Arabidopsis thaliana: one gene and its partners. The protein of the gene in region 2 interacts with the protein of the main gene of each other region in a pairwise test. Each region holds a gene or a part of one and is shown on either strand. Other genes may lie near its edges.

Evidence for each region.
Region 1: the proteins of AT2G01060 (region 2) and AT3G50650 interact in a two-hybrid assay, tested with the Arabidopsis thaliana proteins (one large-scale study listed by BioGRID).
Region 3: the proteins of AT2G01060 (region 2) and AT5G66770 interact in a two-hybrid assay, tested with the Arabidopsis thaliana proteins (one large-scale study listed by BioGRID).

Annotation. Positions count from the first base shown.
Region 1 is NC_003074.8:18,802,011-18,811,995, forward strand, and holds AT3G50650 (GRAS family transcription factor), read right to left. Parts: upstream 6,234-9,985; 5' UTR 6,091-6,233; coding exon 4,462-6,090; 3' UTR 4,129-4,461; downstream 1-4,128. Other genes in the region: AT3G50640 (uncharacterized protein), read right to left, coding at 2,017-2,060, 2,173-2,629. UniProt on the Arabidopsis thaliana protein: Probable transcription factor involved in plant development. Involved in environmental abiotic stress resistance. May increase the expression of stress-responsive genes. Binds DNA in vitro.
Region 2 is NC_003071.7:68,922-79,152, forward strand, and holds AT2G01060 (myb-like HTH transcriptional regulator family protein), read right to left. Parts: upstream 6,589-10,231; 5' UTR 6,269-6,588; intron 5,987-6,268; 5' UTR 5,982-5,986; coding exon 5,864-5,981; exon of another isoform or gene 5,665-5,863; coding exon 5,588-5,664; intron 5,505-5,587; coding exon 5,462-5,504; intron 5,377-5,461; coding exon 5,319-5,376; intron 5,222-5,318; coding exon 5,152-5,221; intron 5,030-5,151; coding exon 4,535-5,029; 3' UTR 4,287-4,534; downstream 1-4,286. Other genes in the region: AT2G01050 (zinc ion binding / nucleic acid binding protein), read right to left, coding at 1-963; AT2G01070 (Lung seven transmembrane receptor family protein), read left to right, coding at 6,675-6,859, 6,937-7,858, 7,959-8,054, 8,224-8,360, 8,554-8,704; AT2G01080 (Late embryogenesis abundant (LEA) hydroxyproline-rich glycoprotein family), read left to right, coding at 9,117-9,725, 10,169-10,231.
Region 3 is NC_003076.8:26,656,299-26,667,060, reverse strand, and holds AT5G66770 (GRAS family transcription factor), read right to left. Parts: upstream 6,751-10,762; 5' UTR 6,339-6,750; coding exon 4,584-6,338; 3' UTR 4,142-4,583; downstream 1-4,141. Other genes in the region: AT5G66790 (Protein kinase superfamily protein), read right to left, coding at 1-782, 879-923, 1,166-1,880; AT5G66780 (late embryogenesis abundant protein), read right to left, coding at 2,865-2,938, 3,046-3,170, 3,268-3,434; SDH1-1 (succinate dehydrogenase 1-1), read right to left, coding at 9,837-9,977, 10,069-10,189, 10,284-10,353, 10,452-10,622, 10,705-10,762. UniProt on the Arabidopsis thaliana protein: Probable transcription factor involved in plant development.

The DNA of each region.
Region 1 (9,985 bases), on a different chromosome or scaffold from region 2:
TTATTTTCCTAATTTATCTATCTAATATAACATGGATATTAGATATGGTTGGTGTACCTAACGCCTATAATTTATACTCGATTAGCAACAACCAAAAAAAAGAAGAAGAAGAAGAAGAAGTTGAGTCATTTAAATCTCTGTAAGAGAAATGATTTACGGTCTTTAAAAACTAGTCCTGGACCAAAAAATGGACCTAAAGATCAGAACTTATTTGTTTAGAAAAATGAAGTTAGAATGAAGTTGAGTCATTTAAATCTCTGTAAGAAAAATGATTTACATAGTTAAAGCTACTCCTGGACCAAAAAATGGATCTAAAGATCAGAATTATTTGTTAAAAAAATAAAAAATACAGATAGATATGATTGGTGTTTATTTCCGGGTCGCTTTCTACGAGTAAAGAAATGGTCAATCACAAATCTTTTCATACCAAACTCTGCCATTATTACATAACTCTCTTAATTTCCTAAACCAAGAATGGCTTTATTATTAACTTTTTCCTCCTTTAATTTTGGTCTCTCCTTTTCTACGGAGTACTTTTTTTTGTTTGTCATTATTATCACTCTTACTTTAAAAATACTAGAACTCAAGATTCAACGAGAAAATTCAGAGGTTATGATTAAAATGTTTAAAACTGTCGTACTGTACTGATCGGTTAAAGAAACTGACACAACACAAAGATGCGAGAATGTACACTAAAACCCACGAGGCAAAGATTTTACTCTTTTCTTGTTTCTTCTTTTTTGTTTTTGTCAATAAGTGGTAAAGAGAGCTGGAGTCTTTTTCTCCACTTGTTCGTTTTTATGAGTTGGACTCTACGGGCCCAATATAGAGATTCCTTTGTCAATCTTGTGTTCCACAGAACAACAAGTCCCTTTAAAATTATTCTGAGCCCATTCATATGATCATATATCTTCCTTACATTATTATTTATATACAAAATTTCGAGAAACTGAATTCTATTAGAATTGGATCTTTCTTTGCTTGTTCACAATTGACAAAAGCTTGTTTCTAATACCATACGCATCTTTTATTGATTAAGTAATTAAACAGAAAATTTATAAGTATTGTTCTTTTCGAAATATGGTGATGAACTGATGATGATATACATTTTGATCTTAGTACATTTGTTCAAACAATGCAGTACATTTTTTTGACTCAGGTCCTATATGTTTCATTACCTATTTAAAGTGCATCATCATATACATCACCAATGATAAGTTGATAACTACTTATAACGAGAGTAGTCACTGTGTTAGTAATTAAGTACCATGTTTCTATATACTTTGATCATCTGATAAACAAGTGTTCACAATCAGGTTTCTATTCCTCCGGTTATCATCTTCAAGGGCATAGATCGAGTAACAAGAAACATAATCACTGCAAGACATAAGCGCAAACGATTCCGCAACTTGATGCAACTTTGGATACGATGAATCTCTTTCATCCATTTTCCTAATTATTTTGTCTCCTTGTTTTATCTTTTTTGCCAAGGATACAAATTTAAGGGCTCCTACTTTGTAAAGCCAAACCTTTTCATTTTTAATGATATTAACATTCATAACAAAAAAAACAAGTGTTCTTCAACTTCATTTTCAACGAATGAGAGGAATAAATACTTCAGAACAAGTCCTCACGCACATACTATTTTGATTATGCTAAATACACTAAACCATCAAATTAAAGTGGGAAAAGAAGTTTAATTGGTCGATATGAATATATGATAATAAGTGGTACGTGAGACAAGTGCATGCAGACAACTTATAACTAAAAGTGAATAAAAAGAAAAAGTATTACACACAAATCTTCACTGGCATTAAAAAATAGAGATGTTCCACAAAATGATTGATTCCACAAACAAAACAAAAACTTACAAGAACAACAAAACACGTGAGCGAGAAGAGTTGTTGTAACTTGGAACCATCTTTGTCCAAAGACCTTTTAGATACAGTCAATCTAGATTATCATAAATAATCTAAATTAATTTCTAGAAACCAAAGTGGGAGCTCTAAACTTTCTTCATCTTGTATCTGCAACTTGACACTCCCTCGTTGCAACATTTCCTGATCAGTCCAAAAGATTTTCACTAGCTCATATTAGTATTGGTTTGGGAATCTCCGGTTATCCAAAGAAGAATAAAAATTTCAAAACAGAGGATTGTTTTTGTTTGTATACCTGAGATTATTTTGTGATCTTGACTTAACACTTCCTCATTGACTTTATCAGTCTTCTTAGATCTAACATGGGTCCTCTTAAGTCCCAAAAGCTCCCTCCACGTGCCCTTTGTGGAAAAGGATGAAGAAGACAACAATATTGGCCTGAGGGAGAAAGTGTTACCATCGACCATAGAACCCTCCTCTTCAGTAAGAAGCTCTTCTCCTAAGGTCCTATGGACGTGACTGGTCTCCTTAAAAGGTAAAATCTTTCCTTTGAGGAAGATTTCATCGGCGGGAATCATCGAGTAATCGGTGACTGAGAAAGCGAAATCAGCTGAGGGCATGGAGAAAGAGCTTCTCGAGTTGATGTTGTTGCTCTTAGCATTACTCTTCTCCGATCTGATCTCGACAAACTCGTTAGAAAAAGAGATTCTAGCAGCACCATTCATGGAGTTGTGCATTTCTAAGCGTGCCATTTATGTTTTTACTCAATGGCATATAGAATGAGAGATCTAAGCCATTGAGTTATATATAGGATAAGAAGTTGGAATGAGATTATTAATGTCCAACTCATAGATCCATCAAGCTTGATCTATATGACTATATTCTATATACGAATATTTGACCGAGAGATTCTAGCAAAAAGTGTTTTATAATAGAACCAAAAAAAATAATGTTGTAGATTATCATTCATTGGCAAAATGTTGTTGATCTTCGTATCTTGAAGGAGTTAAAGATCACATGGAGGCACGTGAGAAACTATCCATTTGTCCTCTGTTATTTCTTGTTCTATTGCTTACCATCAAACATACTACTAACTCAGTGATATGTCGACAAATATGGGCATAAAATGTTGTATTAATATCTATTTACATATGAGGTAACGTGCAGTCAAAGGACCAAGGTTGTCAATCATGTGCTTGGAAGTTCCATTGAACATTGTTTATCCCACACGTCGTCGTGATGCGACTCCGCTCATGAATGATTGGTCAAAAAAACAGTTTCATCTCATTATAGGAAAATATCAACGCATCATTGCTTGAACCTTTTTTCTTAGAGAAACCGGTAAACATTATTTCATGGCTTGCAATTTCATCGTCTAAGTTGAATTTCATATCATACATAGTCTGCTCGATATCCAAAGGTGTTAGTTTCCACCAATACTTTAGTTATTTGTAAATGAAACGATTTACTTTTAATTTTATGATGTATGTGAAGTTTAGAAGTTTCTAACTCAAAATCAATTAGTTATAAATGGATTGATCTATATATTACTTTATAGTCTATATCATTTTCGATTTCTAATTCAAAAGCACTTAAAATGAGTGGATTAGATCATTTTTTTTTTAATTTTTATTTCAGGTATCATCACACTTATAGATGTTGGATTCCTAACCATGATTTTCTAAAAAATGAAAAATCAAGCTGGCAAATTGTAAGCAATTAGCTGTGAAGAGTCAAGACTTGGTTGGGTTATTTGCAAAATACTTCTATGTATTGTTTTTGTTTGTGGCTAATATAAATAAAGGAATGGGACAGAGATTAGGCCTGTTTATTTTGGGCCAAGCATAAACAGAGTGGGCTTTTATCTTCGTTAGGGAAGTAAAATTTACTATCAGACTCACAGACAGAGTCAGAGTAGTGGCTGAGAGATATAGGAAATGGGGACCAAAAGACCACTGAAGAAGAAATTCGAGAGTTGACGTCATAGTGGCACGTTTGAAGTTCGAACAAAGAGAAACAAGACTGACACAGAAAGATTGAAATACTTGTCAGTGCGCCTTCGTATTTTTGGCTTTTACTTCACTGACAAATAATTATGCTCCTATTTTATTATTCAGTGAATGGTACAGAAAACATTGGTATATAATTTTCATGAAGTAAACAAAACTATATTAGGCAAGAAAAAGTGGAGACAAAATGATGAAAAGGGAGAAGAAATGGTGTGTTAGTGAAAGATCTTAGTGCAATTCAAATTTCAGTCTCTTTTATGGGACCATAATACTCTCATTTCAAAATCAAACTTCATCACCTCCTTTCCTCAATTTCAGGGGTTAATTCTAGTGTTTTTTTCATTCACATGAATTTGGTTTAGCTTCTTTCGTTTATACCAAAGAAATCTAGTCAAATGTTACATACAATATATATTACAAATGAACATAAACGACAAACCATCATCACTCCAAGCACTAGATAAAAAAGAGTAAGAGAATAGGCTAGAGACTAATTAAACATCCAAATCTAACCCCAAACAATTCAATTCTAAAAGCTAACTCAAAATACTAGATTAACTTATCGGACCAAGTAGTCAACGCCAAGAGGAAACGGTGAGGAGAGGCACATTGTTCCAAGCCAAGGAGATGAAACCTGGCTCCGATTCAACAAGTGAATACAATGTACTATAATTGTAGTTCCATAGTAGCAGCTTCGCTTGGCTAACCGCGTAATTACTCGGTTTAACCGGCTCAAATCCAGCTTTCTCCATCAACACTCTCCATTGTTCTTTCTCCTCCATTAACCCAAACCGGGTTCCCGGTTTATTATTATCATCATCTGATCGGACCAAATCCATAATCCTCCTACCGAACAACACTCTCTCCACTCTCAGCCTTTCTTTCGAATCTCGATCCAAATTCGGTTCAAGCGATTCAAAAACCGCGGAATAAAACCGGAGAGAGTTCTTAACCCGGTTAGCAAATTCAACCCGGTTTAAACTGACTTCGTATTCTCCAAGCGTCACAATCCTCGGGTTTAACGATCTAGCTAACCGGAGCGCCGTACCAACAGTCGTCGCTGTTTCATCTAGAAGCTTATAAAGCTCAAGCATAAAATTCACAACCAAAACCTCATCCGGGTCAACCCGAAAACTTGACCCGTTTAGTAATTGAATCGGAGTCAGAACCGGATAAAACTCGAAATTGAGATCCAAAATCGCCGCGAAATCACGGAGACGGTTTCCCGTAGCGATCAGAGACGGTCCCGGTGAGTCTCCTAGAGACGGAGCGGGTATACCCGAAATCCGGATCCGGGTGGGTTTACCAGAAGAACGGGTCGCTAAAGCTTGTAACAGAGCAGACCATTGAATACCTTGAAAAATCCCGAAATCGACTATGTGAATGTTGTTTGATTGATTCGTAGCTTCGAGAATTGCTTGATTCGCTGTTAAATGAGCGAACTTTGAATATGGACATGCGTCGTTTAAGGTTTTGTATGAGAGAATGAAATCTTCTAGGGATGACGACGACGATGACGACGGAGACTCTGTTTCTTTATGAGACAGAGCTTCTGCGAAGTAATACCCGACTCGTTGTATCGGGTCGCCTGATTCGGACACGGATTCTTTGATCCGAATTAGTGTGTCCGGTTTAGTTTCCGGTTTACGTGCATAATCGTGGATAGCTTTAAAAATCGGCTGGTTTAGATCAAAATCCGGCTGCGGCGGGGGAGGAGGAGGATGTTGTGGTGATGGCGGAGATGGAGACCATATAGCGGTGGAAGCTGGTGGCGGAGGGAGTTGTTGACTCGCTGAGTCATCTTTGTTGACTCGGTTGAGATATGAAGGAGCACTGAGTCGACTCGGGAATGAGACGAATGGATCATGGCCGTAGATTGGGAAGTCTGGATTGGTTTGTGACGCATCTCCACCGTTGATCAAACTCTCCATCCACTCGTCGGAGTCAAACTCCTCGGAAGCGACGGCTGCGTTTTGATGATGCTCCAGGTGTGGAAAGTGAAAACCTGGGTCGTTGGTTACTTGAAACGGGTCGGAGAAACCCGAACCGGGAAGAGTAAACCCGAAGGATGGATTGGGCCAGGGGTTGGGTTCTTGTTCTTGTTCTTCTTGTTGTTGATGTTGTGATTGTTGTTGCTGCTTCTGTTTGATGAGTTGTTGTGCTATAGCCATTAAGTTTCCGCTGTCGGTGCACATATACGCCATTCTCCGACTCACTTTCGCCGGCGATGAAGGCGTTTTTTTGTCTGTTATTTGGTGGTGATTGAGTAAGGCCCAGAGAGAGAGAGGGATATGAATGAAACCGGAGAGATTTTAGTAGGAAGAAAAAAGTAAGAAAGTGAGTATTTTCATTTTGATTTATCATTTTCTTTTTTTTTGTCATCCGATTTATCATTTTCGAGTACTGTATTTTTAATCAATTACCACTTTAGTTTAAAAGTACAAAATTACGTTATTAACTGCAAGAAATGAAGAAACTATAAAACCAACAACAACAACAAAAAATGAAGAAACTAACTAACATAGTTTACTAAAAAACTCAGTTTTGTATTTAATTATTTTCAAGAATTTAATAATAGAAATGTAATTTATCAAAATATCAATTGAATAATTTCTATATCTCATGAATTTGTAGTTTCGTATAATCTTACAAATTTATTCAGAAACCTTTTGACCAAAAAATAAAAAATACATAGGTTTTTTTTTGTTAAATAATTATTACCACTCTGTTAATATGGGTAAAAAAAAGAGTTGACGTTATGAAAAAAAAGAGAGAGTAAAACGATATCTCACTTATGGGACCCACAGACACGATGACGTCATGTATCGGCAGTTACGTATCGAAGAGTGTGACCTCATCTCCACCGTCTAGAATCAGATCAATGGCTTTGGCTGAAATGGTGAATGTGACACGTCGACAACTGTCTTCTGCTACTTGTCACCTGCATGTCGCCTGCAACTTTTCTGTCTTTTTTCATTTTAACTAACAGTATTATAAAGGTAAAAAGATTGATGTAAGAAAAGTAAAAAGAATTAGGTTATTATCTTCTGCTTTCAAGCCGCAAAGGTCAAGGTTTTTCAAAGCTGTTTCTTATCAACTAAAAGGGTCGTTAAATTGGACTTTGGTTAACAAATTTCAGTGACTTCATTGGTTTAGTTTCAGTTACTTTTGTAAAAAAACCTTTCGACAAGTTAAGCTAACATCTTGAATATGACTTGAGCAAGCAAAAATTAAACAATAGACATGTTTTATTTGTATACGCATGTCTTTTTTATCTCAACGTTAGTGTTGTGGAGGACGGCTTGTGGGTCCGTAAGTAGGCCCATATACAATGGAGCAAAAGCGATTTGTGGCGGGCTCTACTAGTATCTGTTGTTGGTGGACGAACTTTGACGAAGAAAATGTAGTAGCCATTAGCCAAAAGCTAAAAATTACACAAAAATACCAAAAAAAAAACACAAGCAAAGAAGAAACAAGAAAAGAGTCCAAAGAGGATTATAGAATTTAAAAGTCTTTCAATAACAAACCAAGTTTTATGAATTATCATTCATACACGACGCATAGTTCGAGAATTTGCTTATTTGAGGTTTGAGTGTGGAAGCTCTTTGTGACTTTGCAATTTCTAAAAACCTAAAGCGAATGAAATAGAAAAGAGCAATAGCGAACAAAAAGCACATGGGAACGACACTTGACTCTTTGAGACATCACTCTTTTCATTTCATCGTTGTATCCGCGTCAAAAGGCCTACTTCTCCACTACTTATAACTTAAATATCTAAATTACATTACTAAACATGGTATATGGTCCCTGGCCCAAGTCTACTTTTGATTTTCACTTTTGACATTTTTTACTACAAAGTGCCATGGACTGTTCTAAATTGGTAATGATTTCAACAAGGAGAATGAAGAAGATGATATTTTTGAAAAGGACTTGTCTTTGAAAATGGCAATCCCACTTTAGTGTTTAACCATTGCACCTATCTGCAAGTGGACTTGGAGAAAATAGATAGAGAGAGAGAGAGAATGAGTGGTGTATGAAAAGGACATGAGTAAGAATGAAAGGGTTTGATTTGTCTTTTCTTTCTATCCAAGTCATCGGTGGGGTTTCTTATGTATGAACAAAGAGTGGCATTGAGTCATCCCCAAGAAAGTCTCTCTATATATTTACCATTTTTGTCACATTCTTTGCTTTTTTTTTTAAATACTAATTTTTAGTTTCAACTCTTACCAACTAAAATTTACCTATTTTTGTCTCCTCCTTAGCTTTTTACACTTATTTTCGTTTGAACCTTTAATTAACCAAAATATATTTACTATTTGAATCAGTTAAACAGAAATTATTAAGTCAGTAAGAAAAATATATATTTGGTGACGATTATCTCATACAAAACAGAAAGAGACTTTTCAAATGACAAGTGGCCTGTCCAAACACTAAACTTTTGTACCTTTTATTGACCAGCTAACTCACTTTCTCATCCAAATTTTAGTTAGTTAAAACAAAAAAATCTCAATGCTTTTCCTCGTTTTCTGAATATTATTCGGCTAACCAGAAAAGAAAAAAAATACTTGCGGGCCAAACCACGAAAATCAATAAACAAGGGCTTTTGGTTGGTAAGTCTCGATTTCATCACCGAGGGTGTTCATGTGAATAAACCTATACTTCAAAATATCGAACCATTTCGTCTTTCCAATATCTGCAAAATTAGAGACAATCAATCAAATTCAAAGCCATATTGTTGTTAACAAAAGAGCAGTATGATGAACAATTGAACATCAATATAATTTATGAATTATCTAAATCTTCTCATTTGGATGATTTCAGATCAAGTAAAAACTTTATGGGCCGTAATTATCCAACAATATGATGGGCCGACCTAATCGAGGAACACGGGGACTAGTTGGCGTAATCAGCCTCCAAATATTTGGAGGCTTCTGTTTTTGTTTTATTTAATCATATTTTATTTCACTGTAAATAAATGGATAATACAGTGTGTTAATCAACCATATGTCTATCTGCACTGTTTTTTTTTTTCTTTTTTCTTGGCATTTTAATTAATTACAATTATATAATTTTTGGTAAAGTACAATTAGATAATTTAACGTGTCACCTGATTACGTATTTAAACCCTAACTCAACCACAGATTTTTTTTTATCACTCTCTAATTGTCTCGATCAATCCGTCAAAACCATGTATTACGAGGGAGAAGATTTCAGCGGTAAGATATCATTATCTATCTTTAGGGCCGATTGGTAACGACTGTTAATTTTGGTTGTAGAGACTTTCGCTGTAGGAACTTTGACGGTAAAAACTTTGATTATAAAAATTTTGACTTTAAAAATTTTAACAGTATAGACTTTAACGGTTAAAATCTGATAGGTAACACCAAAACTGTAGAAATTGTAACTGTAAAACTTATAATTTTAAATAATATAAATTATAGCAAATATAACTCGAACTGTGATATAACAACTACATTCACACAAAAAAACTTTATGGTAAATTTTTTATACATTCATATTTCTTTGCTTTTGCATCAAATGTAATATTTGATGTTCTTTAATATACATAAGTGGATCTTAAAAGAATATAAATTAAACAGTAATTATAAACATTTATCAATGAATTCCATAGGAAATTTTGTATAAATTACGATTTTAAAATAACTACCAAATATATAGGAAAATAGATTTTAAAAGAACAAGAAAAAAATCAATTATAAATCAATTAGATTTTTTCAAAAAATAATTTATTTGTGAAATGTTATGAGAGTTTATATACATATTAGAAAGAAGAAGAAAAAAACTATAAACTTTTTATTTCTTTATTTCTAAAGTCACCTATACGTGATTTTCAAAAAATATTGAAAACAAAGAGTTTAAGAAAAAAAGACTTTAAAGGCTTTAAAATTTATGAAAACCAAAAATGTTTGATTGGGTTAAAAAAACTTTTAAAACTTCTAAAAACTTCTTAAAGTCTTAAAAGTCTAATCCAATCACCCCGTCTATCTTTCTTTTCTCCAAATTGTTTGTTAAAATTTCAAGATTCTTGCCTTCAACAATCATCGGAAAGAAAAAAAGATTATTTTCCCTCATATTTTC
Region 2 (10,231 bases):
TTCCCTTAACCTCTGTTTTGACCTACCACCAGACGCACCCACCGCAAACACCATCTTCTGCACCGGTGCCGCCGGCCGTCTAGCGGTGCGTTGAACCACTGTGAACCCGTCATCTCCCTCCATCCCAACAGGCACCACAGCTCTATCCGTAACCGTCTCTGCCCCAGCCGAAACTTTCACCACCACATTTCTTGGACAAGAATGAACCAAATGACCGTAAATACCACACGAAGAACAGATTTTAGACAGTCCTTCATATGCTACGAAGTATCTATCCCCATTGATTAGCACAGTCCCTTTTAAAGGTTTTGCTAAGTTAACCTCAATACACACTCGAGCAAAACGACCCTTGTCAAAGTTAATCGTATTCATATCAACCTTGAGTGGTCTACCCAACCCACGAGCAATCTCCATGAGTAAACACCGATGATAGTAGTTATACGGGATATTCGATAATCTAACCCACACCGGGGTAGTCACAATATCATCCCTCAACGGATCAAACCTTGACGACCAGTCTTGGACCAACAGATAGTTCCCAAGAACTCTCCATGGACCTCCGGTTAAAGCAGCCATATACTCCTCTTCCAGTTCAAACCTAATCATGAAAAACTGGCGGGGCAAATCCATCACTGTCATCACTCCCGACGGTTTCCAAAGCTCCCTTAGCTTGCGATTCAACACCGAGATCGGAATCTGGCTCCCAAGCACCTTCACTATCATACACTTCTTCCAAAGCCCATTCATGGCTTCCAACACCTCCTCACCAATGGTAATAACTGGCTCCTCGTCCTCACCATCTGGAAACTCCAGCCCCACCCGCTCCCTCACAAACTCATCATCAATCACGTCTTCTGGTTTCAAGATACCTCCCCCAGCACTACCCTTCACTTTCGTAGCCCACGACTCCAACTTATCCGGAGGATCCCCTGGTGGACGCCCCTTTTCTCCGACGTCAAGCATCATAGCATCTTGCTCACCAGATCTCACCGCCGTCGCAGAATAATTATATTAAAATATACTGTATATAAATGTTAGGATCCCCATGATACTTTTATCTAAAGAAATGTTAGAATACTTACGGATTTAAGATATATATAAATCCAAATTAAATTTTCAATTTTAATATTTTCTTCAACAATTTTAAATAATTATATTAAAATATACTGTATTTTCATATTAATTACGAATTTATATATATATATATATATATATATATATTAATTAGATTTAATTTTTTAAATTTAATTAATATTTCAAAGATAAAATCAAAATAATTATATCACTTTCTTAAAAAAATGAACAGTTCAAAAATGTCCACTCTGTAGAAACTCGTGCATGATTGGTTGGGCTTTAAATCTGACTTACAGCCTTAATTTTTCTTAAAGCCCTATTTTCTTGCTAACTTACAAACCAATGGTGTTGTAGCTTTCTTTTTAAACTTACAGCCCAAATTTTTTTTATTTTGTTTTTAAGGCTGTACTAGAGTAAATTCTCAAAGCCCTATTTTCTTGGCTATAGAAATTTTAATTCATTAGATAAATACAAAAAAAATTTATCAAAATATATATATAACAAAAACAAAGATAAATTCTAAAAAAAAACTGATAATTATCAAACCTAAAAAAAAAAAATTATATTGCAATAAATTTATGGAATAATCATAGATAAAATTTAGATTTATTTTATTAAAAATTCATAGGAGTTTTTTTATTTTTATATAATCATAATAAATATATCTAAGTTAGTAATATAAGACATTTTATTTACTATAAAAAAAAAATTTTATTACAACTATTATATTTACTTATCATTTTTTTATAAATATTTAAAAATAAAAACCTACAGCAGTAATTCTACAGCAATAAAAGTTACAGCTACAGCCAACACAGCTACAGCAAAATCTCTACAGCGAAAATTCTACAGTTACAGCCCAACCAATCACCCACCAAATATAAGTCGACTGTTTTGATATAGTCGGTAGAGAAAAAATTAAGTCGATGAAAATAAAATATAAGTCTACTAAGATTAAACAAAAAGCTGATAATTCAAAAAGTCTATCTTATTAATAAATCAACGTAAAATAAAATAAGTCTACTAAGATTAAACAAGTCGGAAAAACAAATTATAAAATTAATAATTAAAATAATAAGTCAACAGTTGAAAAAGTCATCTATGTAAGAAAAACAATTAACCAAAATGTAAATCGACTGTTATAAAATAAGTCGATGAAAAATAAATTTAGTCGACAAAAATAAAAGAGAATATTACATCAAGGGGCACTTTTTAAAAACATTTGACGTGTTCCAACACTTAAAAAACATTAGACACTTTTCCTTGTTAAAATGACTATTATACCCCAAAATTATTAGTAAGGCATATAACTGACGATTTTCTTATTTTTAAAGTCCAATTTCTCTTTAATCTTTTAGAAAATCTCAATATTCAAAATCAAAATTGAATCTCTTAGGGTTTCTCATCATCTACCATATTTCTCAACCATCTATCGCTTCTCTTCTTCTTCTCTGGAGATCTTTAAATACATTCATGAATCTGATTCTAAATCTCTGAAAGTCTCCAACTTTATTACAAAATTTGGACAACAGATACATGAAACATATGACGGTTTCTGTGCACTTCTCCTCCTCGTTTGACGACGTCGTTTATGGCCAAAGCCAACAACTTTAATTTCATTGTGTCCCCTTCAATCCATTACAGTCTATGATCCAATACAAATTACGAACCATTTGCTTGTTATCAACAACATTGTATCATATTCTCAATAAAATGTTTGTTGATGGATCTTGTATTAAAATATATAAAACGAACTGTTTAGATAAGTCTATGTGGCCAGTTTATATTGGATACACAATTAGAGACATTTCAGTTTGTAGAGACCTCCACCTTCAAGATCTTATGAACATGGAATTTTGGTTTTTTTACAAACCACAGTTAATCGAATCTTCTGTTATTATGGACATGGTATATAGAATGGATATGGATCAGTAAAAAGGTTTCTGAATGAATATATCTTAATGGACTTGTTATTATGGATACAAAACTATTGTTTGTTGATTTTTCTTTCAGTTTGCAGAGACCTCCACCTCCAAGACCTTATGGACAAGAAAATTTGGTAGCTTTACAAACCACAGTTAATCGCATCTCTTTTATTATGTACATTGTATAATGAATAAATATGTATCAGTAAAAAGGTTTCTTAATGGATATACTTAAATGGACTCGTTTTTATGGATATATTTAAATAGACTCGTTATCTTCTTTTTGTCTTCATGGGATTTAATCGGACGACTATTGTTTAATTTTAGCCCTAGATCTCGGCTGAATGATATTTCCGACGGTACGAAGGCTATGAAAACCAGATCTTCAGGTAACATTTCGATCATCATCTTCCCGAAGAAACCGAGTTCGTCGGAGATGTCGTCTCCGAGTTTGCAGAGATGGTTACCAGCGGCGAGAGGTGTTTCCGGTAATTTAAGAAAGGAGAAGATGAGTATAGTTAAGGAAGAAGCAGTGATGAGAAGAAATAGGAAAAACATTGGATTCTTCAAAAAATGAGGTTTCTTCATCGTTTCTATTGCGTTGATTTCATGGATAGATGTCTGCTTAAGGAGAAAGAAGAAGGAAGAAGATCTGAGAGAGAGGAAGACCTTTTTCATCAGATATAAGATTAAAAAAAAAGCAAATTTCATTTCTTTTTAAAGAAAATATTACGTGATTAGACAGTTATTTGGAAATGATATAATTGTCCTTTTTACCTCCAAAAACAAAGAAAAGTGCCTCATCCCTGAAAAGTGCCTCAAAAAGAATAAGATTTTGTAAAAGTGTCTAAACGTGTCACATTCCCAAAATAAAATATAAGTTGTCAATTCAAAAAGTTCCTTATTACACTGATATACTAAGTATTTTCTTATAGTAGAAAGAGTGTTTTATATGAAAGCAACATTGTTTCTTAGAAAATATTAAATTTTTATTTTGTTGATCCAAAATAGTTTATTTATATTTGAGAAATTTAATATATGAGAACTGTAAAATACAACGTTTGGAGAGAACGTAACACTAGAAAATACCATAAAGAACACAACCCGTGCACTCACCTCATTACCGTCATCGACAAGACCATTCGAGATCGCATCACCAGTCTTTATTATCAAGGCACCAGCAAATATGCAAACCTTCAGAACGGTGCAGGCTTCACTAACGTGATAATTTGTAATGTTCTGTTTTGAGATCATCTCCAGGCCTAGCTAACTTTATGCTAGGTTATTCAGCTGTGTATGTTTAAATGCGGCATGCGTTACTGTTTTGATAAAGTAGCTTTAGAAGAATGTAGTGTGTTGGGAATAAGAGTAATTTTGTTTTGTGTTTACCAAATTACAGCACAACACAGACATATTCATTCTTCATGCTCGTGATAGTGCCTAGAGAATTAACGACTTGTGATCACATTATTAGAGGAAACTCCTAACTAATAAGGATTAGGATAAACAACACTACATGTGGTACACTCAACAACTCAAAGATTATCTCCTGAAACCTTATCCAACTGTTCTTCGGCCCCAAGCAGTGATGTAGATGGCTGGTCAAAGGCGAGGACATGGTCTGACTGATGGTAAGAAGTGTTCAAGCCTGATTCTAGTATTGGGTGACCCACTACAATATCAGGTGTATAACCAGCTGCACCTCTCACCAATCGAGGCTTCTTTGATAATCTCTCCTCTCCTGTGCTCTCATCTGGAGACCCAATGTTACACCCTGAGTCTGGTGTTAAAGGCTCCCGGTAAGATGAGAGAGACTCGTCAACTGAGAGACTTTTGTCTGGTCCACAGTCCTTGCCAGACTTGTCTTGAAGAGGAGACTCAGATGTTGGGGCAGGGGTTGCAGGATCTGAATCGCCCGTTACTGGGGCTGAGGGTTCGCCGAGTACTCCACTGAGTCGTTGTTGCTCTTCAATTATCTTCTTCAAGTACTTTCCTTGTGCTTCTATCCGTAGTTGCAGCTGTCTTTGCACCTAAGAAAAAATCACATCAAAGAATAATGTCATATGTAATGCAAAATTCAGTGCTACACTGAAAATCCTACTAATTGTTTCGTTGTTGCTTGTCTTTCTTAAGTAGGAATGGTGAAGCATACTTCTAGTTGCTCGTGTAATCGTTTCTGAACTTCCATCTGCAACTTGAGGGCTTCAGTTATCTGCATTCCCCTGTAATCTCGAAACGATATTGATCACTTAATCTGCGGCGCGAGGTAATATATATATAGCATCACAAATCAAGCTCAAAGAGGGAAATTTCACGTACGACGAGCCGTCCAACCCAGAGAGCATATCTCCAGATTCTTTCTTATCAGTTTTTTTCCCTGAAAATTGAAAAAACCAGTTTTCAGGTATATAGGAAACTGGTAGAATGAGAAAGAAGATGAAGAAAATCAATGTCCACACTACCTTCAGAAGACGAATCTGGAAGATACTTTGCAAGTCGATATTTCTGACTCAAAATACACAAATGCAAAAATCAGCAAGGGTAAGAGAAAGAGAGACGAGACAAGATGCCACACAGTTTGAGAATACCTGTAAGTGACTCTTGACATGATATATAGTTAAGCCTTGTACACCCATCACTCTAAGAACGCCTTTGGGTGTAGCTCCTTTGGAAATCAAAGGAAGAAAAATGTTTAGGAACCCTAAGCAAACAGACGATAGGCTTTCCCTCTCATGGATAGTAGTAAAGCATACAAGAAGAGCAATTTGATTATATTGGTGTGCATATTATTACCACAGATATTGATGAGGAAAACATGAGTTACTAAATTTACCATAGACTATACAAGAAAAAAGGAAACTTACTATCAGGGCCACCAAGTTGAGCAACGGCATCAACGAAGCGTTCATGTAGCTCATGCGTCCAACGCAGACGTTGTTTGGATGCATGACTAGAATTGGGGCCTCCGTTGTCTGCTTCCATCAGGGCTAAGATATAAACACGATAAAGGGAAAGTAATGAGTAGTGGCAAAGCTAGGAAATGATAACATATGAGGACTGGCCAGAGAGAAAGAGATAGAAATGGAAACAAGGAAGACGAAATAGCGCCCAGAATTAGCTAGTAAAAACAGTCCAAGTCAAGTTTAAGACTTGCTCCGGCAGATCCACCACAGGACACCAAAATCAGAGACATGTTCACTAAAATCGGAGGAATTTGTCGCCGAGAAAGCAAAAAGAAAACACAATCCAAGGTTATGGAATCTACGAACCTGTGGGTGGTGGATCTATACACGACGCCCCTCCATTTTCGGAACTTGCTCTTCTCCAAGCTAAATCTTATCTGAAATAGAAGATATTGTGTTACAGACTAGTTTACTGAGTCCGGTGGGTTACAGGGCGGGCGGCGATGGAGCAGAGTCCTCCTCAAAAAAATTCCAGTCTTCTTCTTATCGCTCGATCGACGAATTCCAGGCAGTGGCATTGACTATTGCTGCATTTCTTTCTGGGTAAGCCGGGCCTCTCGGTATAGGCCCAAACCATTCTAAGGCCCAAACCATTATATTAAGTTGGTTGGTCCACCAAAGTCAGCAGCAGCTAGAACAAGAGCGACTCTGCAGCTGCTCTTCTCCCGCTTCCTTCCTGTTAGTTAGCCTCAGAGATCCTCGTTCCCCGATAATGGATTTGGGAAAACTGATCCAGCTGTCTGCGCTGCTGTGCCCATTTCTTCTATCATTACACTTTAGAATCGCTGGGGCCTCCGCCCACATCTACTCTTCCCAGCCCTTCCACGATGTCGGTAATTCTCTCCTCCTCTACGGTGGCAGCGAGGGCATCTTCGCCTCTTCCCGATCTTTAATCAGGTATATTCTATGGATTACATTTTCAACTCTTTTGATGCTCTCTACTCTACTCTACTCATCCTCCCTCCTCACTGCAGGTTTGAGAACATCACTCTCTGGAGGACAATTACCGGTAAGGGCCACCGCAGCAATGGGTTAGTTCAAGCAGTGATCTTTGAAGCCTCCGATCGTAACAATATCGGTGGTTCAGCTTACGGAGGCCAAAGATCTATTTGCTGCACTCCAGATCTGGCCAAGCTTCAAGGCTGTAAGCAGGGTGAGATCATTAGGATTCCTTCTCCACATGACCCTCAATGGCCTATCCTCTTACCTGTCCGCTTTAAAGGAAAACGCTCGTCTGCTAAGATGGCAGACACTGAGATTCTTATCACCAAGACTGGAATCTATAATCTCTTATTCATATCTTGTGATCCACAACTTAAGGGCCTCAAAATGACCGGAAAGACTGTTTGGAAAAATCCCGACGGCTATCTTCCTGGTAGGATGGCTCCACTCGTGAATTTCTATGTCTATATGTCTCTCGCTTATTTGTTGCTCAGTGCCGTCTGGTTCTTCCAGTATTTGAGGTTCCGGATGGATATATTGCCACTTCAACATTGCATTACTGCCGTCATTCTTCTAGGATTGCTTGAGATGCTCTTTTGGTACTTGGATTATGCTAATTTTAATCACACGGGGATGAGGCCTTTAGCCCTTACTACATGGGTTGTTACCATTGGTGCCTTGAGAAAGACTGTTTCCCGCATTCTCATTCTCTGTGTTTCCATGGGATTTGGGGTTGTCAAATCTACTCTTGGTGGTCTCACTTCTAAAGTCCTCCTTGTTGGAGTTACTTACTTCATAGCTTCTGAGATCCTTGATATTGCTGAGCACGTTGGCATCATTGACGATATGTCCGGAAGATCAAAACTTTTTCTTGTCCTTCCTGACGCCTTCCTCGATGCATTTCTCATATTGTGGATATTTACCTCTCTTTCGAAAACACTGGAACAGTTACAGGTATCTCTTTCTTTCTAAATATAGCCATCAGACTCTGTAAGTTGTAAGGGTTTTGAGGCAAGATTCATCAGACCAGCTATAAAATTCTTTATTACTGCAGATGAAAAGGACCTCGGTGAAGCTGGAAATTTACCGCAAGTTCTCAAATGCACTCGCTGTGATGGTTGTTGCCTCTGTTGCGTGGATAGTGTATGAGGTACCATCCTGTCAAGCCTGATTTGATGCTGATTTAGTAAACTCAAATCTTACCTCTAGGAAACAAACTGCTCAACTAAAACTGGCTTTGTTTCAAGCTAGGAAAAAAGAAGCTCCTTCTTTCTTGGAATATACCCAGCTTGCTTGCCTGATGATTTGTCCCCGTGCAGGTGTATTTCAAAGCAACAGATCCATTCAATGAACGATGGCAGACTGCTTGGACTATAACTGCCTTCTGGGATGTTATCGCATTCTTGTTGCTATGTATTATTTGCTATCTCTGGACCCCCTCGCAGAACTCCCAAAGGTATGTTACATCAACTTAAAAGGTTTTGATACCTCTCGGGCATACCAACAAATAAGCATGGTTTTGTGGAAACGGTTTCAGCTGAGCATGTTGTGGGAAGTCTTGGCTACATGCTAGTGGTTCTTATGTAGTGGTCCAATTTTGGTGTTCCTGGGTGTGATAGGGATGCTAATATGAAACTAATGATGGACAGATATGCATATTCGGGAGACGTGGATGAAGAAAACGAGGAAGCTCAATCTCTGACAGGGGGGAAGCAAGATGGTGATATTAGCTTAGTTAAGCAAGAGAAGAATGCGGAGTCGGACAGGGAAGAAGATGTTGAAGAAGATAAAAGAGAGTGAGGAGAGTCAGTATAGAAACGACGTGGCATCTGTGTTTGATCAAGAGTTGACGAAAATATAAATATCAGCAAGAGGTCAGCTATATAGCACAAAGCAACGACGTAATACATATATATGATGTAACTAAAGGATAGTAACTGTGTGTTTGTATTTGTTTGTTTTTTTAATATCAGATCCAACATTTTTTGAGTCATCTCTAACCCTTGTCTGAGTGTGAGATTTGCCTAAAATTGCTGTAAATTACATTATTGATATTTTTATTGGTGGTTAAAATTGTGAAACATTAATTTGTCAATAATACTAGAGTCCAGACACGGAAACAGGGTCTCTCTCTCTTGTTGTGTATAATTTCAACACCGCTATTACAGAAGAAGAGTGAAAAGGGAGAGGGAGCTTCCTGCTTTCACTTACTATGCCTCCTCCTCCTTCTAGTTCTAGAGCAGGTCTCAACGGCGATCCGATTGCTGCTCAGAACCAGCAGCCGTATTACCGGAGCTACTCATCGTCGTCGTCGGCGTCGCTGAAGGGATGCTGCTGCTGCTTGTTCTTGCTGTTCGCGTTCCTGGCGCTGCTGGTACTGGCGGTGGTGCTCATCGTAATACTGGCGGTGAAGCCGAAGAAGCCGCAGTTCGATCTGCAGCAAGTGGCAGTGGTGTACATGGGGATCTCCAACCCAAGCGCTGTTCTGGATCCAACCACCGCCTCCCTCTCCCTCACCATCCGGATGCTCTTCACCGCCGTCAACCCAAACAAGGTCGGAATCAGGTACGGTGAGTCCAGCTTCACGGTCATGTACAAAGGCATGCCACTGGGGAGGGCGACGGTGCCTGGATTCTACCAGGATGCGCACAGTACGAAGAACGTTGAGGCCACCATCTCCGTCGACAGAGTCAATCTTATGCAAGCCCACGCCGCCGATCTCGTCAGAGATGCTTCCTTGAACGACCGAGTGGAGCTCACAGTCCGCGGAGACGTGGGGGCTAAGATCCGAGTCATGAATTTCGATTCACCGGGTGTTCAGGTTCTTCTCCCTTCTTTTCTCCCCGCATTTTGCTCGCTCAGCGATCTGGCCTAACCAGCGCAGTGTGAACACTTTTGACAAAGAAATTACCACACTTTTTGAGTAAAAAATGCGGGTAAAAAAAAAAAAAAGTGGTTGCTAAGTTAAATAGATTCCTTACACCACTAGTCATGCTCTTGTCTGTCCCCACTCTGCTTTCCTTTTGGCCTTTGCTTCTCCTTCACTTTTGATATTTTTTCTAGGATCATTCATCCACGTCTATGCCACCACCTAAAAAGCTATTATATGTTATATATTGAGGTGTAAATTACGAACAACGACACCATCTCCTTCCTTTCACTGGTTTATAGTGTATTGATTTAAACTAATAATTTTATCAAAAAAAAAATATATATATATATAAAAAGATTCACTCTGCTTGCTAATATATTGATGCATTGCAGGTATCCGTGAATTGCGGGATAGGCATTAGTCCCAGAAAGCAAGCTCTCATTTACAAGCAATGT
Region 3 (10,762 bases), on a different chromosome or scaffold from region 2:
GCCTGAGATGATTTCTACGAGAACAACTCCAAAGCTATAGACATCACTCTTGTCCGAGAGCTGAAAATCTTGGTGATATTGAGGATCTAAGTATCCTGGAGTGCCTTGTGGAGCCGTGGAGATATGAGAGGCTTCGAAATCGGTAGACATGCCGAGCCTAGAGAGTCCGAAATCAGATATCTTGGAGTTGAATTCGTGGTCAAGGAGGATGTTACTAGATTTTATGTCTCGGTGGTAGATAGGAGGGTTTACTGAAGAGTGGAGATGTGCGATTGCGTTTGCGGTTTGACACGCAATGGCGAGTCGGAGCTGCCAAGAAAGTGGTGGTTGGCCTCTCTCGTGTTGTAAATGCTGATAAAGAGTTCCGTTTGGCATGAACTCATAGACTAGAAACGGTTCTCCATCTGCAAAGCAACAACCTAAGAGACGTACTAGATTTGGGTGGCTCACAGAGGAAAGAAGCTTGATCTCGTTCACAACTTGGTCAATGCTTGTAGTGTCTTTGTGTTTGAGACGTTTTATAGCGACGCATGAGCTGTTTGGGAATTCGCCTGCGTAGACTGTTCCGTATGCTCCGGTTCCGAGCATGTTCTTGTCGGAGAAACTATCGGTAGCTTTCTCAATCTCTTTGTAGGTGTAGAAAGGAACACTTGAGTTTCCGGCTAGCTCGCAAAGCAAGCGATTCGCGATTGATGCTCTTTCAGATGACGCAGATTGCTTGTTCCGGAAGAAATATGTAGCTATCAAGACCACGATTACTAAAACTCCAACCAAAATCCCCGCTATAACAAAAACACAAAACATTCAACTTTTCGAGACTTAATTAAACCGCAACTAATTGATACTTAACCGAATAATAGGATTAGTAATTTACTTACCAGTACCAAGAACAACGAGTTTGTGTAGTCCTTTGCGTTTGTAAACTGAAACCATGACAGTTAAAAATAATTAAGAGAAATATCTTTTCTTTTCATTTTTTTGTCGGAACAGAAATATCGTTTTGTTTTATTGTTTATCAAAAAAAAATCATTGTCAACTAATTTCTTCCGCCAAGTTTTGAAAAGTCAGCTTTTCCTCCTTGCTAAAAGCGTACGTGTCATTGTACCATTGGTGTATTTGTATGTCGGTCAAGATTGGAAAACAAAAGTCAAAGACCGGAACGAACCTAATCGGTGGCAACCACCAGGCACGGTGAAGGCTTTACCGCTAAATCCTTCACGACAAGTGCAGCGATGACCGAGTCCACCGTCGTCGAGCTTAACTTTGGCACAGTCTGCGTTCTCCGAGCAAGTGGTGTTACTGCAACTTCCCTTAAGCCACCAATCAAGCTTGAGTCGACCCAAATTGACCGAAACTTGCGATTGAGAAATAGAAGAGAACCAATACTTACATCCACTTCCGTTCACAACGTCGCCTAAACTCATCACATCGGCAGTTGTCGTTGTTGCTCCGTCGAGACAGCTAACCGGAGATTTACATTTGCTGAGATTTAACCGGTTTTCAACGAATTTATTGCGGATTAAGCAATTAGAAGACTTGTTCTGTTTCTTGCATCCTTGGACGAGAATTATGTTCTGTAATTTCGACGGAGCAAGATTTTCCCGGAAAAGTTGTTCGATTTTACGGATGTTGCGTTTGCAAACCGGCGGGATTTCGACGTAGATGTTGGAGTTTGTCACTTCTTGCACAGCGAATTCACCGATCACGGCCTCTCCGGTTATCTCAGAGCAGTTGAATCGGATCGGATAACCGTCGGAGAAACCAAACGGGTAACGGAGCAAACTTGTTTTGCACTTAACCGAACCGGTGGTTTGTGTAGCAACGGTTAGAGTGAAGACGAAGAAGACGAAGATGAGATACGGTTGAGGAGTTTCTGCCATGGAGAGAAAGAAGGATAATGATGAGATCGAATGATTGTCCCAATGGCAGAAACTGTAAATTCTGCAACTTCGTTTCCGGTTTTTATGTAATTTTTAAGATATGTTTTTGACTGTTTCGTACTTTCGTTACTACCAGCGGGTTGAGTTGACCTTGTATTATAGTTCAGAGTCTGAACTTCAGACCATTGAGGCATTGACCAACTGCGAGCTGATAATAAGGGGGTAGTCTTGACATTTTGGCTTTAACGTTCGTTAATCATGCATCATAGCCTCGTTAGGTGATTGATTAAATGAAATTTGCCCCCAGTGTTCGAATAACTACAGATATGATACTAACCAATAATAAGAGATTGTTAATACAAATATGTGCATGTAACTATGGAAATAAAAATTCAATTCTTTGTACGAAGCAAGTGTAGAACACTAAACAGTAGAAGCTAAATCTCCTCAACTCTGTTTTGAGACGTACGATAAGAACTAAAAACTTGTTGAAAGTTTTGAAGTGCGAACTTGGAGTGAATATTCCAACTTCTAAGACGTTACTAATAACATAAATTATGAACACGCAACACACCAGCTAAGTTCCATCAGCATTGGAGTTTCAGATGAATTTACCAAATTTATCTTCGCTGACGTTACTTTTAACGTGTTGCATCGGAATCGAAAGTCCGAAAACAGGCTAATATTCATTGCTGACGTTATCTAAGAATGTTTTCCTCGACGGTTCAACTAAAAAACCGTAGATTTGTTCATAAATAAACAAACACAGTCAAATTAAGGGAATGTTCAACAATCAACAAAAACTACTAATTCAACGAGTGTTACAAAAGTGATAAGGATAACCAACAAAAACCCGGTAAAGGTTACGGGTCAAAAAACGCAATTAACAAAAAAAAAACTCTAACCAGAGTCTACGAACTACAGAGCACAAGTCTGATTTTATTAAAGCATAAAGAACAAAGACACTAAATCATCATTTTTTCTTTAGCAGTGGGATTGTGTCTGGTTCCTTGCTTTCTCCTTCTCCTTCGATTCGCTACCTTGCGTTTTGTCGTAATCTTCAATAACATGAAAACACACACACACACACCCAGAATCGTAAACAATAAAAGTGATCATATAAGTAGTAATAAACGTGTATATGATAACTAACTATTCTGAGTACCAGGGTGATTCTCATGGATCTCGTTTTCCTTCTGAAGTGTTTGATTTCCTCCATAGATTCCTCCAAACCCTTCTTCGTCAGACCTTGTTGCGTACCCTTCTCCATAAGAATGCGACATCACGTCACTGCTCCATCAAAGTAAAGAAGAGAACGAAATTTTTTTTGAATAACATCCAAATTACGAATCAGAAACAACTACACACATATGGGGAGGAGACGAACCCGGTTTTCTCGTTTGGATTTTCAGGCTTTTTATCCATCTTTTGCTGATCAGAAGTGGTGGCAAAACTAACTCCAGTGACTTTCCGGCCTAATCGAGATGGTGTTGAGCAGAACGAGACGGTGGTATTCGAGGGCAGTGATCGGATAGTCTTAAAAGCGTTGATCATTTCTCTGCTTTTGGAGGTTTCTTGAAGCTTAAATTTATAGAGTAAGTAGTTTTTATTCTTACGAGGAGATGATAAGTTTTAAATTAAAACCCTTTAGTAAGGTAGAGTTAACGAAGTTAAATACGTCAGGTTTAAGCTTAATTAAGCTTTCCTGTCTTCCGACATAATAGTACGACGGTGTCCTGATCAGAGTTTGCCTCGTGGTGCTCTGGTGACAGGTGGCGGGACTTAACAAGGATTTGAATACGTGTTTGTCAGGACTGTGACATGTGTTGAGCGCTGCAACGGGTTCAGATTTCTATGATAAATCCTCTTTTAGCAACTTGGGCCACCAAAAAATCTAAATGGCCCAAGTAAGTTGGGCTAGAACAAGTCGGTAAAGACATCGAGAAAAGAGGGTGGGAGCCACGTGACCGTTAAAAGAAGACGGATGGAGGACGTGGGAGTGATGTCATCATTGGCACACTCAACAAAAAAAAGTAAAATCAGTACAGTGACTGAGACTGACACTGAAAGACTCAAATAGAGCAACTGTGGCAACTTTGACACATAAGAAACAAAAGAAGATGAAGTTTGTTTTAAAGTGAAAAGAAAATGACACTTATAAATTCAACACACATCTCTTATTCATGTAACTTGTATTTGTTATATCTTTGCAAGTATTGACATTTAGCTTTCATAAGTTGTACCATGTTCAGATATACTTATGTATAATGGTAGATATTCATATATCAAAACTACATTTCATCACTTTTTTGAGCAAAATTACAAATAAAAGAGTAGTTACAAATATATTTGGCTTTCAACTTCCTAATTTTATGAAATAGTAATTACATCTCAAACAGATGACCAGAACCGGTCACTTTATCCAACCAAAAATAAAGAAGCAAACCAGTTTAAATTATCTAATGAGAAAACAACAAGACTAAGACCAGTTTTTAAACCTAGTTCACAAATCCAAATGATGTTACCAAAAAACACATAAGGTTCAGAGAATTCAAAACCTACCCCTGAATTAATTCAACGTTCGAACTAAAAGAAAAACAAAACACTCTGACCACGGAGTATATTAACAATTGAATATTTGTCTAACCAAAAATAACATTGAAAACAAAACAAAACTAAGAATACCGGATCGGTTTGGTTTGGTTATCGCCAGGAAGAAAGAGTGAGGAGAGGTAAATCGTTCCAGGCCAAAGAGATGAAGCCAGGCTTAGATTCAACAATTGAATACAAATTGCTGTAATTGTAATTCCACAATAGAATCTTCGCTTGGCTCACTGCGTAATTACTCAGCTTAACCGATTCAAAACCGGCATTCTCCATTAATACCCGCCATTGCTCTTTCTCTTCCATTCTTTCTCTATGAATTCCGGTTTTCTCCGGTCCAATCAAACCCGAGATTCTCCGGCCGAACAACTCTCGCTCAACTCTCACTCTCTCCTCCGAATCACGCCCCAAGTTCGGTTCAAGGGATTCGAAAACCGCGGAATAGAATTGAAGCGCGTTCTTTACCCGGTTAGCGAAACCGACCCGGTTTAAGCTCACTTCGTATTCTCCGAGAGTGACGACCCTCGGGTTCAACGATTTGGCGAGCCGTAGTGCGGTGTCAACTATCGTCGGCGTCTCGTCGAGTAATTTGTAGAGCTGGAGCATGAAATTCACGGCCAGTACTTCATCCGGGTCGACCCGGAAACTTGACCCGTTAAGTAAATGTATGGGAGTGAGAATTGGGATGAAATCGAAATTCAGATCCAGAACCTTGGCGAAATCACGGAGGCGGTTTCCGGTGGCGATTAACGACGGTTCCGGAGATTCACCGAGAGATGGAGCGGGTATACCCGAGACCCGGATTTGAGTGGGTTTACCAGAAGTACGAGTAGCTAGAGCTTGAAGAAGAGCAGGCCATTGTATACCTTGAACGATTCCAAAATCGACGATGTGAATCTTGTTCGACTTCTCCGTCGCTTCTAGAATCGCTTGATTCGCCGTCAAATGTGCGAATTTGGAGTAAGGACAAGCGTCGTTTAGGGTTTTATAAGATAAGATTAAATCCTCCGTAGATGAAGAAGAAGACGACGTCGCCGGCGAATTAGGAGACAGTCTGTTGGAGAGAGCTTCCGTGAAGTAAAATGCAACTCGCTCCGTCGGATCACCTAGCTCCGATACAGATTCTCGGATCTGAAGAAGCGTCTTGGAAGCTTCGTTAGGGTCAGAGTCTGAGATCCGTGCACAGTCGTATATAGCTTTGAGGAGAGGTGGTTCTAGGTCGAAGTCATCGTCTTCGGAGTCGTTAGTCTCTGGATCTTCTTTGGTTGGTGACTCATGAGTAAGCGGAGGAATCGATAATGGCGAAGAAGGAGGCCACAAGGTCGGCGGAGGAAGCGGACTCGACGTGTCAATGACTCGGTTTAGATCTGACGGTTGGACACTGAGTCGACTCGGGTAAGTATCGAATGGATCAGGACCGTAGATTACGTAATCGGGATTATCATGCCAGGTGTCACAATCAGGACCGTCTGCAACGGAGTCTCCACCGCTGATAAGAGTCTCCATCCACTCGTCGGACTCAAACTCGCCGCCGCCGGTTCCACCGCCGAAATCAGATAACCTGAACCCACCGCCGGTGGTTGTGGCGTGGTGGTGGTCTAAGTTAGGAAAAGGAAAGCCAGGATCGTTGGAATCTCCGCCGCCGGTAACTTGAAACGGGTCGGGAAAAGCCGAACCTGAAAGCCCAAACCCGAGGGAAGTATTGGGCCATGGGTTAAGAGACAAAGGATTAATACCAAAAATCTGATGGTCTTGATGATGTTGCTGCTGTTGTTGTTCTTGTTGCTGCTTCTGTTTGATGACTTGTTGAGCAATAGCCATTAGATTGCCACTATCAGTGCACATGTAAGCCATTCTTAACGCCTAGATCTAACCCTCCCGGCGGTCTATAAAAACCACTGCCAAACATGCAGATTTGCGGTCACTGAAGAAGAGGATGATGACCAGAGAGAAACGGCGGGATCTCAAGCTTTGGATTTTAGAAGAGAGAGAGAGGTAAAGAGAGGAGAAGAAAGAAAGGTCAGCCCTAGAAAGTGGATCAACGTTTGATTAAAATCTGACCGTCTGATTTCATTGTGGGTCCACACATTTTTCTTTGTTATTTTTAAGACAATGATATTTGTAACGGTAATAATACCGATATAAACACACCACATCTCTTAACCAATAACATATTTATGCATACATTATAGAAATCATTGGATCTAATTCCAAATTGTTAGTCTCCTAAGAAAGAAATAGAGAGATATGTACAAGTTACTCCCACATTAGTTTTTGTGTGTAAGAGAATGTTATCATAGTTTTACATTGTGAACTCGTCATTATCGATTCATCCGCTAACAAGTTTCTGAATTTGAGTTCACAATGTTGTGTAACATTTTTTAAAGACGATATGACATATAATGGCCGAGGTTGTTCATATTAATGTCTCCGTTTGGGATATAACAATGTAAATTTGTTCACGTGACGCACACTCTCGCGCCAAAACAAAAATTAAACAGATTTTATAATCAAATACTAAAAAAATGTTTGCTAAATAAAGGAATAGAAGATAAAATAAATTAAAGAGAGCTTTTTTGGTGAGTGAAACGCTCAGTGGGAGGAGAGGATATGACGAAGCTATGGGTCCTTCTTCATCACTAGACAAATAAACTCGCTCTTTTCCTTGTCAATATTGATATTACTTCTTTCATGCCTCCAAACTATACCATATTTTCAATAAATTCGTACCGTATATAAATCTGGGTTAAGATAGATGTAAAATATGTTTACAAAAAATGAAATTAACCTAAAGTTTAAGAGTGATGAAGATTCAGAAGACTGAGAAGTGTATGAATGAAAACAAATCTCTCATCCCGCTCTTTTCGAGGGACCCGAGAGGTGGGGTCCACCACTGTCAACGATGACGTCATCATACTGTAGGGTTCCTCATCTCTGCCGTTGATCTCTGTAATGTGTATCTTCTTTCCCATCACAAACTGCTCTTGACTCTCAGTGACTCACCTACCTCCTTAATTATTCATTCATAGATAAATAAATAGATGGTCTTATTTTCATGGTTACCAAACAAATTAAAAGAAGAGTGCAATTGATGTGAAAATTACTTGTTTGTATATATATCCAAACATTAACATCATGATACAATATAGACGCACCATAAAATAATTAATTAAAGTAAGACATAATCTCAAATTGTATTGTCAATTTATTCATTGACAACTTGTTATATATATATGAGACTGTGTGTGTGTTATAATTTATATATAGTTTGTATGAGGGTGACAGATGGGCCCATGGATCAGCCCAATATACATGTAAGTTCTAAAATATGACACGGAAAAGGAATCGCTGGTGGGGCCTTTTTAACTGTTATTGGATCGATCTTGCACAATTGAAGCAACCAATCTTAAAATTAGCTTTTAAAAATTACCCAAAAATGAAAAAAATAAAACAGTATTTCCAAAGCTTTTAAAAAAAATAATCTGGAGTGTTTTTAATAGTAACACATACAGTAAGGGAAATATAATCTGACAGCTTTTCATCTTTTCACATATATAATTAGAATTTTAGAACAATTGAATCCTATAGAATTTAGTTTTTCTAATGTGTGCAACAACCATACTAAGTGCAACGATCACCAAAAATTAAAATGTGAGTTTGTGTTGGATATTTAAAGTATTTTGGTTGAACAGAAAATAAAGAAGGATATAGTTAAAGTATTTTCTTTTTATAAATGATAATTTGCAAATGTGTTTTTTTATATAAAAAAAAGTGAGTGGGAAAGAAAAATATGCAAAAAACAACGTTTTAATCTCTCTGGCTTTTCGACTAACCTCTCTTTTGTGTTGCACTGCACCTTTGTCTCCACGTCAAAATGTCACTCACTTCACTTTGGTGACCCACTTCTTACACATCTCTCTTTCAGTTTTTACATAAAACATACAACAGTCTCTGAATATACAGCACTAGGTGCATAGTGTTTTTCAGATTTCTTATGAACTATATTAACATAAAAGCAGTAGATAAGGTAATTTCTCTACAATTTGGTTAAATTCATTGTGTAAAAAGTAAATAACAACAAGAATTAGTTTTTATTCTAATGAGTTTTTTTTTCCGGGTAAAACTCCATATATTCTAATAAGTTTTGTATGTCTATATATATATATATGAATCTTCCCCCATTAAGCATAAGTTCCGTAACCGGTCAAAGTAAATTTGAAAAAGATTTTTTACTTTAAGATAAGGATAAGAAAAAGAAAGGTGTATGAGTGAGTAAAAACCCTACTTTATTGACAAGGTTAGATGAAGATTAGACAATTTAATTACGACATTCCTCGATTTCTCTTTCATACGTTGCGTTTTAGGCATTGCTAAGTCAGCTTTGTGTCGAAATTTTTTAATTAACTATAATTGATTGGGTTTTGGAATTGTTAAATGTGAAATGAGCAGGTTAATAGATAAGGTTGGTTGGTGAAGTCGACTGGTTTAGTTTAATTTGTGTGGAGCTTTCTAATTTTGTTATCGATTGGTTCTAATTAGGAATAACACACACGCATGCGGAAAAATATAATATCTTATGGTTGGTTAGTGTAATATTGAACTACATAATTAGTCGAATTGGTGTGGGGCTAGTTTCTAAGCTTCAAGGTCGTAATCATAGATCATTTTTGTATTTACATTCACCGACTGTATCTTCAATTTGCATATGTGGAAGAGCACTTTTTTAGTATACGCCATAAGCAAGTGGACGACTTTTAAAGAGAGATACATTATAAAGGTCACATTTTCTACGGCCAACATTATCATCTAGCGACGACGATCGGACCAATCTAAAACTCGCTCAGATACGCAAATATTGAACAAAAATATTTGAAATTACCCCCACTTGTAGGCCTAAAAAATGCCTTGACTGATCCGAATTTACCTAAAATAAAATTTTGTTCAGACAAGAAAAAACAACCCAAATTTTGTTTTTCTAATGGTCACAACTCAAAATTGTATCTCGTGTTCTGATACCTATTATCACCGCAAAATAACTTTCACGGTCGATACGGAATTCGAACATTTTGATTTAAAAAAAAAAAATGAATATCACCAAGGCGTAATTAACAGGTAACAAAGAATGTAACAATTTCAGGAACTGATAAAGAAAATAAGAATTGTAGTGTTTTTTCCTCTTTCTATCAATTTATTTTCATCGTTTCTGGTGTAAAACGTAAACCCAGTTTCAGAACAGTCCTTTGTGCTCCATCAGCTCATAACTCCGTCTTCTTCTCCTAATTCCCTTTTTTTGGGGGGTTCCTGATTATTATTATTATTCCGATAACAGATAAAATAAAAACATGGGCTCGATCAATAGACACGAGCTTTGGGAGGGAAAGTGTCGATCTCATCGTCGAGAGTGTCCATGTGAACAGGCCTATAATCCAATCTCACTTTCTCATCTTCCCAATATCCCAATGTATGCTTCATCCATTCTCCATCCTCTCTTTTCTGCATACACACGCATTCATTTATACTACGTTATGGTTTCATCATTATGGGATAATCAATCATTGTGGAAAAGCTGAGCAAGGAATCAAACCGTGAAGTCTTCCCGAGCATGTGCTCCTCTGCTTTCCTTTCGTGCTTCTGCTGAATGCATTGTTATGGATGCGTTTATCAAAAGGTTCTCCAGTTCCAATGTCTCTATCAAATCCGAGTTCCTGCATTTTATTCATAGTTTCCAAGATTAACAAGAGTTCACCAGATTTTATAACAGTGTGATAATCAATCCCATGTGAATAGAGTCTGTCTTACCATATCATACTCCGATCTTTCACCTGGACGTCCCCAAAACTTTCCCAGGCCTTGTCAATCAACTGACAACCTGTGATTGTTTCACGGTAATAAATTGTAAAGAAAATGGATTGCAGTTGCAGGTGAGAGAATTAAATAAATGCAGAACAAGTTCAGATCACTGTTTACCTTCTTCCAATGTTTCTTGCGTGCGGAACACAGCTGCGTTGTTCTGCATAATCCTCTGCATGTTCAATCTGATAGTTGAAGTAGGTAGAGACCCGTTTGAGTTTCTCAACCTGTCCAGCCATGCAATAGTCTTCTCACCCGCATCCTTCTCAAGAGGTTTCTGTTTCTCCCCTGCACCAATCGAATAAAGAAAAAAAAATGATCAGAAGAGACTTATCTTTTATAATAACAGCAGTCCTCAAAAAAGACTAACCTGGTTTGCTTATCTCTGCAACCCTATTTGCACAAGCACGACCAAATACGACAATGTC